Linked DNA regions of Drosophila melanogaster. The protein of the gene in region 2 interacts with the protein of the main gene of each other region in a pairwise test. Each region holds a gene or a part of one and is shown on either strand. Other genes may lie near its edges.

Region 1 (3,959 bases), on a different chromosome or scaffold from region 2:
ACGCTCTAAGCTGAACCAATCCACTTACTCACTGGGTTGCAAATAGGGCATGAATGGGGAAACTCAGTGCCAGTTATCCAGTGAAAAAAAGAGCCTGGAAATTGGATAACAAGAGCAGGAGATTGGATTGGGGTGATTGTGTGAGCTATAATAATAATAATATAAATAAATATGTATAAATAATACATGCAAACTTGACAAGGAGGAATCTAAAAGTACATAAAATGCACACATTGTTGTATTTAGAAATATTTAAAATTAGATGTCTACGGAGTAAGTTGCGTAATTTCAAATCTTTCGTTAAAACTTAAAGGGCTGACACAAATTGACTTCTGCCTTAATTTAATGCGAATATTTTAGCCCACAATGACAGAAGCTAACGAACCTAAATCTTGTTTGATTGATATGAGTTAAGTTCCCATACTAATTCGTTCTTTGGACCGATCGGAAAACCGTGTGTATTGACACATTTGCTGGCGCGGCTTCAAACAAGCTCTAAATCAAGTTCAAAGTCAAACTAATTATCGGCAATTTGGCTAATCAATAATAAAAGCAGCTAGCTAGCAATACATAGAAAAATTCCCCCGCCCAAAAAGACATATGAAACATGTTTGGTTTAAGCTGGTGTTTATATTTAGTTTCGGCGTGTTTTTTCGACGTATTTTGGTTTGCGCCGCCACAACAAAGCGCTTTGACCAGCCAAACTACTTACACCGACTGTCTACAAGAGTATCGTCCCACACAACACACAAATAAATAATTTAAGGCAAACACAGGCAGCAGCAGCAAATCAACGCGAACAGCAATATTTTGGCAGCGAACTTGTTTGATTTGCATAAAGTCGCACAAATAAAAACGATGCAATTAAAAAGGCGCGCGCGTAGATCCAGTCAGCTGATGATGGTTTCGGATTGGCTGGAGTTGGCCAGAAATATGGCCAAAAAGGGGTGGGGGGGGGGGGGCGGTCATCTCCAGGGGGATCGGATCGGCGACTGGAGACGGCGGCATTCGGGTAAATTTAAATATATTTTTTATATGCACTTTGTTGACTTTTTGCGCTTCGCCGTCGTTTAATACCGCTCGGAATTCAGGAATCGGAATCCGCTGTGCCGAAACTAGTTCGTCGCAGAATTAGTGCAGTAAATATACACAAAAGTAAAATAAAAATAAAAATAAAAACAAAAACACAAGAACATGCATGACTGTGTGCGGGTTAAATATGTATGTACCTGCTTAAATAAGTTTTATTTAGCGTGTTCTATTGAAAGGACAATAAACTCTCGGCGAAACGTCAAGGTCGACCACATCGCATTAGAAGACTGCGGATCGATTCTAATTCAGGTCGCATTTGCGTCTAAACATCTGTATCTGTGTTCTAAAATCAGATATTTGGCTAAGCAAATTGCATTTGACTATTATCACTAATCAAAAACCAAACCTTCTTGAAGCTTACACCTCATATTTATTGTCTCAAATACCTATATTTGTGGTTCACGAATATTAGATGAATACGAGGATGAAATAGGGATAGGTTCTATCCTATCGTCTTGGTGTTCTGGTGAACCCTTCTTGGACATGGCCAGTTGCAACTGTCTAGCAGCAAGGGTATCCACAATAGCAGCCGCCACAGGGTCCACAGGCATAGCATGGTCCGCAGACATTCGGTCCATAGCAGGGTCCACATCCTCCTCCGCATGGTCCGCATGGACCACAGCAGGGTCCGCAGCAAGGTCCGCAGCAGGGTCCACAGGGTCCGCAGCACATGATTAATTCGTAAAAGTTCTGAAGGGAGAAAAGGTACGTTTAAATGATATGCCATAGGAATTTTTTACACATTTTCATTTTTGTAAATTTTCACTTATTTTCACTCACTTTGAACCGAACAAAAAGAAATAATTTGAGACTAGACGACAAATTTTGATGTGTTCAGGCCGAAAGGACAAATAATAATGATACAAAATCTGGTTACGCACAGGTATATCGGTTTGACAAGTCGGACTGAAGAGGCAAAGGATACTATATAAAATATTTTGTTTAAAGCATTGGCTAAAGCTTATAATGATTGTATTGTAAGTAGGGAAATGCTCAATCTTCATGTGAATTAACCTTTATATTTCGATCCTACCTATGTAGTTATCATCCAACTTGGTAGGAACGCATCAAGTTGCCACTATTTTTCCAGTGCACTGTAACATATAAACGAGGTAAATGAGATTTAAATTTTTGTTTTGTCGGATCATGTGTTCATTGCACCCGGCTGAAGTTCGAATCGCTGCCGGTTCTCAAGTCGAGTTCTGCGCTGCACTTTTGTTTACTCTTGATTTTGTCGTACTTTTTGATTAAGTGCATGGCGCATAGCCGATTGCCGATTGCCGAGAATCCGGGTATCGGGGCTGAACGGGTATACTATATATGCAAGTGTATATTAAGTTCATTATCTGACCGAAGACTTGTGTTGCTTATGTTTTTTATTTTGTTTTTTCTTGGTTTTTTTCCCCAGCCGAATCGAGCCAAGAATGTCGTCGCATTGAAAGAGGTCAATCACCAGCGATTGCGCCTTGGATGTCACTCGGTGTAATTGAGCGCAATTTATTTCATTTGCTAACGATTTTACGATTTCGGATTTAATTAACTCCCGAAAAGCAGGAAGCCTAGTGGACCAGTTGACAGAGCTCGCCAGCCTCCAAAATGGAACCCTAGTGTTATACACAATGATTATACAATGATTTGTATTTGTGCATGACTGAGTCAGCCGGAGCATTCGGGCAGAAAAGTATGGGTTGCAAATAAAAAGCGCATAATAGGCGTTTAAATGCAATTTTCTTCGCAAAATGGTCGGGCGAAATATCAAAAATTCGAATTATATGTTTTGCCGCATGTTGATTAGAATGTATGTATGTATTTGTGTGTGTGTCGATCAGCAGAGGCAGAAACCGAAGCAAAAACCCCGTCGTCAAACCGCACAGAAGTCCTCTCCCTTCTAGCAGAAATATTTGGGTAGAATCTCGCATCCGAGGAGACGGACAAGTCCAACTCAAAGTCGTTCTGTTTCGGCACGGTGAAAAATCACTATCATAGAAAAAATATATAGCGTAGTGACGAAAGGCGTCTCAAAGAAATGTGAACAAGAGTAGAGTAAGATATATTAAATACAAATCTAGCTTATATTACAAAGTGTCTAATATAAAGTGAATCAAACTTAGTTACATAAATCTAGTAGCGAACTTAGTGACGAAGCGCGTCTCAATCGAATCGGAAAGCGGTAGCAGATTTTAAATAATTATTTTCTTACCACCTAAATGTGGTTAAATGACTTTCATTGAATTTTTCTCTCTGTGGCTCTCTGGTTTTTTTTTTTCAAACTCGAGATGGATGGAACTCTGGTCAATAATTTTGTGAGGGTGCCGCCAAAAGGGCAGCAGACGCTGCTCTAACTTAGTTTTTTCGTTCATATTTGTGGCTGGCCTTTGTTTGAAATAGATTATTGGCAATACATATGTATACAAATATTTTGTATTTCGTCTGGCGACGGGAGTTCAAGGATTTTTATTGGGTTCAGTGAACCAAATGTCTTTCCTCCGGCCGGAAATATCGAATTCGCTTTAATTATGGCCCCTCGCATCAACTTATTAATATAAGTTTGATGAAAAGTGAAACACAATGGGCACACGCAGATGTCATCATCATCGGCTGGAAAGCGCTGAGTACTGCCAGTCAGCCCAGGGAAATCAATATCCGCCTATCCCTAAGTGTGCGCCATAATGACTTTAGGGGCGTGGCCGTCAATGGGGCCAAAGGTGAGGAGCGACCGAAAGGGTAAACGGCGGATTCAGGTAACCCGAGAAGCCGACGAAAGTGAAGAAAGCACGTGCCGCCCCCTAAAAAGTGGCAGCTGATCGCTAAAAAGGAAAAGTAAGGCGCAGTTCTGAAAGTCGGATATATGTACATACATACATAGT
Region 2 (5,497 bases):
GAAAAAAACCAAAAATAATAATAATATTATACGTACAAAGGAGCAAGAATGTAATACATAAAAAACACCGAACGCAGCGACGAAAAAAATGCAGTTTTTAAGTGCACTGCTTATATTTCTTGAACCTTAAACATATTTTCCCTAGAGCATGTCCATATAACTAAAGGAAATAGTTTGTTTCATGGTTATGCAGTAAATGGGTTCATTACTTTTCATTTTAAGATGCACCTTTCTCTTCTAAGAATACAATGAACTTGAGCACTTTTATAGTTATTATTTTTAGTATTTTCCTACGCCTTTGTTGGTTTGTGGGGGAAAAATACCTGCAGATATTAGCAAAAAAGAAAAAAGAGAAAATCATTTTCAGGGTAAAAACACGTGAAACATTGCATACGAACGCTGGAAAGACAAAGCGTTTTTGTGAAATATTTAACTACTTGCCACACTGGCATGCCTTTACATATAACGCATTTGTTCACACTAATTATATGAAATGTAAGGGCAGACTCGCGTCTCGTTTTTTTTTTTTTGCAGTAAGTATTTTTTTATGTGGGATTTAAGTAAAGTTAAAGTTCTTTCGAATCGTTCGCAGCATATTTTCGTAAGCCATACATTTATGAAGACATTTGCGCAATTCACATTTACGGAAATGCGAGATATACATCAGCGTATAGTAACAATTTGAAGGAAAAGCTACAACAAGCCATGAATAACCATCAAGGACTATTTTTCCCTGGCTGATTTAGTGACTTGGGGAGATTTCCGCGAGATTTTCCGGGCCCACTTGGGAACCGCCAACGTAAAATATCAAGGATGCTTATCGACAAATAAATTCTTTGCCCTGTCAAATGCCCTGCACCATCACCAGCACCATGGTCCACAGGCCACAGTTCACAGTCAATGTGGGTGGCACAGGCTCGGCGGTGGTATGTGGCAGGATATAATAAATAGCCTGACATAGTAATGCCACACAGACACTAACTCACAAATGTCGCACTGTTATTGCTGTTGTTGTTGGCCCTTCCAGTCCTCGACCGAAAAGTTGACGCCTATAAAACGGATATGGATGTGCACCAAACTGTGGCATACTTTTCTGACCCCCACCCGACCGAGTGGCACTACCACCATCCACTACCACTTCCACTCGCAGTCGATGTCGCTCCAAAAGTGTTGACAAATTTATGAGCTTGTTTTGCTTTTTCGCAATTTTTGTTCGGCTGATTGAAAGTTTTCTTTATTTTGCCTCCGGGCAAATTGATGACAATTGGAGAGCGGGCCAGACAGCTTAATCGTTCGTGTTCTATATTTAGCTATATATTAATAAAGGCTTTGATTGATTTCGAAAGTAAATCAAAGGGCCGACACAGCTGCATAGTTCAAATTGATCAAAGTAACCCTGTGCTGGCAATATTCGGTCACACTGTTTTGCACGCAACTAATGTTCAACTCAAATATGAATGCTCACTCTTATTTATTGTATAATCGGTGAAATATTTACTTTATTGCTTTGGCATAGTTTACAATTAATTCACACTTGCTTTGCTTCTATGTTCTTTGAAATAGTGAAAAAAAAAAAAATTCTTTAAAGCCAATTTGCTTTGCTTGTGCGCATGGCCACATTGGCAGCAGCAACATCAGTTGCGCCTGGCGTCACAGTTGTTGACGGTACTGGCCAGTCGGCAGGCCTTCAGCTCGCGATCGAACCAGTAGCCGTTGGGGCAGTTCTGGCGCTTCGACCTCTGACGGTTGCACACGTAGTAGCGGCGACAGTGACGCACGTCGGCGAGGAAGGTTCCGTCCTCCTGGCCACGGCAATCGTGGCGCGAGATCAGCACCTGGGCAATAGCAACTGGATTGTCTATATCGGGCTGTTCTTCATTTCCGTCGACAATTGGCCCAGCGTTGTCGCTCTTGGGTGTTGTGCAAACGGTTGTGGTGCAGGGCTTGGTGGTGGTGCACGGTGGGGTGCAGGGAGGAGTGGTGGTGCATGGAGGTGTCCTGGTGCAGGGGGGTGGTGTCCTGGTGCATGGAGGAGGTGTCCTGGTGCATGGAGGTGGTGTCCTGGTGCATGGAGGTGGTGTCCTGGTGCATGGAGGTGGTGTCCTGGTGCACGGTGGTGGTGGTGGTGGTGGTGGAGGTGGTGGTGGTGGTGGGCACGTTGTAGTAATGCACGGAGGTGGTGGTGGTGGGCATGTTGTTGTGGTGCACGGTGGTGGTTCTGGTGGTGGGCATGTTGTTGTGGTGCACGGTGGTGGTTCTGGTGGTGGACATGTTGTTGTGGTGCACGGCGGTGGTGGTGGGCATGTTGTTGTTGTGCACGGATCCGGGGGAGGAGTACACGGTGGGGTATCGGCTCTAGGCGGATGTGCCAAAGCCTCATGACCGCCGGCGATAGTCGCCAAAACTAATCCAATCAGCAGCAAGTGGTCTAGGATAAAGCACAAAAAAAAAAAAAATAAAAATAAGAAGAAACTCCTTGTTTTTTTTTTTTTTTATGGAGGATCTTGGATCGGAGCTACCCACAAACTCTCATGTTGCGTTCGATAATGCCTCTGCAGTTTCAACTTCTCTGCTGGTTAGCGAATGATGTTAGCTGCACTCGGGGCTCTTTTTATATCGCCCAGTTGCAGATTTTATCTGGCTGTGGAACAGGGAAAGCACTTGAGATCTGTTGAGTGGTACATGGTCCATGATCCCCGAGGTTCTCGGCACTCTGCTAATTAACCAAAATTGGTCTGGTTGTAGGTTTTGGGGTATCGTGTTTTGTTCATGTAAGCAAAATGTTTTGTTTTTTACTTCGCAGTTGTTTTATTTTTTGCTGTAATATAATACTTATTCTTTGAGGGGAAAACAATCATGCTTAATGTTCGTTTTCAAATATATATTGTTACATATGTCATTTTTTAGACTTAATACTGTGTTTTTTTGAAAGAGTTTTCCCACAGTGATCTCCATTCGAACATACACTGATGGCATTGACATTTGGCCCGGTTCATTTGGCCATTCCGTACGCAATCTGTAAAATAGTTGAAATTGCCTGTTAACTGATTTCGCAGGCCCGGCCCCCCATTTGCTTTCTGTTCCTTTTTTTTTTTTTGGCAATTGCTTCTTGACTCCGGGCCAGTGCAAACAAGAGATTTCGGTTTATGGCCCCGGACCGGAAGTGTTAGGCCAAGTGGCCATGTGGCCAAGAGGCCATGTGGCCAAGAGCGGATGAGTGGACAAGTGTTGGCCATTTGGCAGTCGATAAAAATGGCAAAGAGCCTAAGGGGGCATCTGTGTGTGGGTATGCGTAATAATTTCGGCATGAAAACCTCCGCATTGCCACTTCCGCCCCTCGGAAAGTCCACCTTGCCTGCAGCGCGGTTGTGAAAACAAAAAACAAAAAGGACCACCATATCCCCGTGTGTCCCGCATATCCTGGACAGCTGGTGGTGTAGGGGGGGCGTTGAAAAGCGCTGGACAGTTGGCAAAAGTTTTGTAATTAAATATGGTTGTTGCAGTTAAGATTTATGAGCGATTTTTATACCAATCACCCAGTGATAGAGAAGTTTACTGGGCCAAGCGAACAGCGATTCATTTTAAAACAAATTCAAATGTAGCACCTATTTTTGTTTAGTATATCTATACATATTTTAATTATTTATTTTAAAAATCTGCTATTGAGCTTTCTCTTATTTATTCACAATTGAATCAAAGCATAGCAATATGACATGGTTTCAAATCTGTCCACATTCAGCTCCATCACGTGATATCCTTGATTTCACCACCCAATCGTGCCCTTTGAACCCTTGCACTGCGATCGTAAATAATTATTTATTTAAACAGTAGAATATTTCCAAACGGCATAAGCAAACAGAATCAATTGTTGTCGCATGGCGAATATTTATGCACGCATTTATATTCCGACATCTGTTTTCGGATTTCGGAGGTGCCCTTTTCAGACTCCTTTTTTTGTTTTACAATTTTTGAGTTGGGTATTGTTGAAGCTGCGAAATGATGTGCATTGGATTTTAATTTATATTCAAAGTGTGGGGAGTGCTTTACAGCCCGCATAAGCCCCGAAAACTTTCAATCGTTATGGTTCAATTGGATTGAGTTAAATTCACTTTGTTTCATTCACTTAGCACTCGTAAAGCTACACCCTCGCCAACAAACACGACTTGGCCATTTGCCGGGCAAAAATTACTCATACGCAGCGTGTGATGTGAATATTAAAAAGCAGCCAAGTTTATGATAAATCCGCCTTTCTTCATCTGCCAGTGTGCTAAAGTGTTTATGTACGCTTTTATATATTTATATAAAGATATATATACATACATACATATATATCTAAATATATGAAGTATATGCGAATAGTTGGCGAAACAATCTCAGATTATGAATGAACTTTGGCCAGTTTGGTTTAGGCGGAGATATGCACAAAATAGTTGAGTTTCTTCTAGATTATGAATGAATCACTTTGCGGCTAAAAAGTTCGCTGTGATTTAGGCGATAGTCGAGCAAACTTTCCAGACGAGAAAGTGGCCCGAAACTTTAAGGAGTTTAATCATTACCAGGGTCTTAAGATTATTTCACTCTTTTGTTCGCCCATAAACTTCAGATTGGTTTTGAAGCATCTATAATAATTATACGTTCACTTAAAAGCTGCTGGAGCAGAAGTAAAAGTTTCCCAGCTTTCTTTCCCATTAAAAACTCTGGGGACAAGCGGCGAGTTCTCGATAAGTTAAGTAAAATGTACAAAATAAAGCGAATGGCATTGGCTCAAAAAGTTTCACCATTGTATCGTTTTTTATAATCCATTAGTCCCCGAAAAGAGTGCATTTTCTGCCTCTACTACTGCATATCTTATCGAGTTACGTTGCAAATTGAATTAAAAATATATATTTTAAGCATTCATGCATTTTTCCGGCAGCTCACACACACACGACAACCGAATTATTTACCCTGCTGCTAAAAGTGGCAGCCTCACCTCGGCCTTTTGTCAGGTTTTCGAGTGGAGACTTTTCAACTTATCTCTGACCATCTCAATGAATTAGTCGAGCAACATAAATTAAGCACTTAGCTGTTGTAAAGTTTTTCCTTAAGCGGAGGCAGCTTCCTTCGTAAAAGATGACCTCGCCCAACAGAAGACAAACAGAGACACGGCTCAATGGAAATGCCCTTCTTTCTTCTCACACACACTTGCCCAACCACCAGACCGAGATGAAGAATGGGAAATTAAATTAAGCACACACTCACACACACACACATGACTGTTTGTCCAAGGAAGGATTGGATTTAAGGACTGTTTGTGCAAGGACATTGTATCAACAATTTCCAGGGCTCGAGACTCTGTGCTACGGGGCATTGTAAAACTCATTAGTGAAGTGACCGGAAATCTTATGAAATCTACAAGAAAAAGTAAGAACCAAAGTAACAACGAAACCGAAAATAAAATACAAGCTAAAAGTCTTACGATCACTATGGGAAAAATATATACAAAATACAAATACAT

The links.
Region 1: the proteins of CG34324 (region 2) and Mst87F interact in a two-hybrid assay, tested with the Drosophila melanogaster proteins (one large-scale study listed by BioGRID).

What each region holds. Positions count from the first base shown.
Region 1 is NT_033777.3:13,825,707-13,829,665, forward strand, and holds Mst87F (Male-specific RNA 87F), read right to left. Parts: upstream 2,303-3,959; 5' UTR 2,126-2,302; intron 1,981-2,125; exon of another isoform or gene 1,873-1,980; intron 1,783-1,872; 5' UTR 1,765-1,782; coding exon 1,594-1,764; 3' UTR 1,445-1,593; downstream 1-1,444.
Region 2 is NC_004354.4:13,455,079-13,460,575, forward strand, and holds CG34324 (uncharacterized protein), read right to left. Parts: upstream 2,586-5,497; 5' UTR 2,534-2,585; coding exon 2,524-2,533; intron 2,429-2,523; coding exon 1,635-2,428; 3' UTR 1,456-1,634; downstream 1-1,455.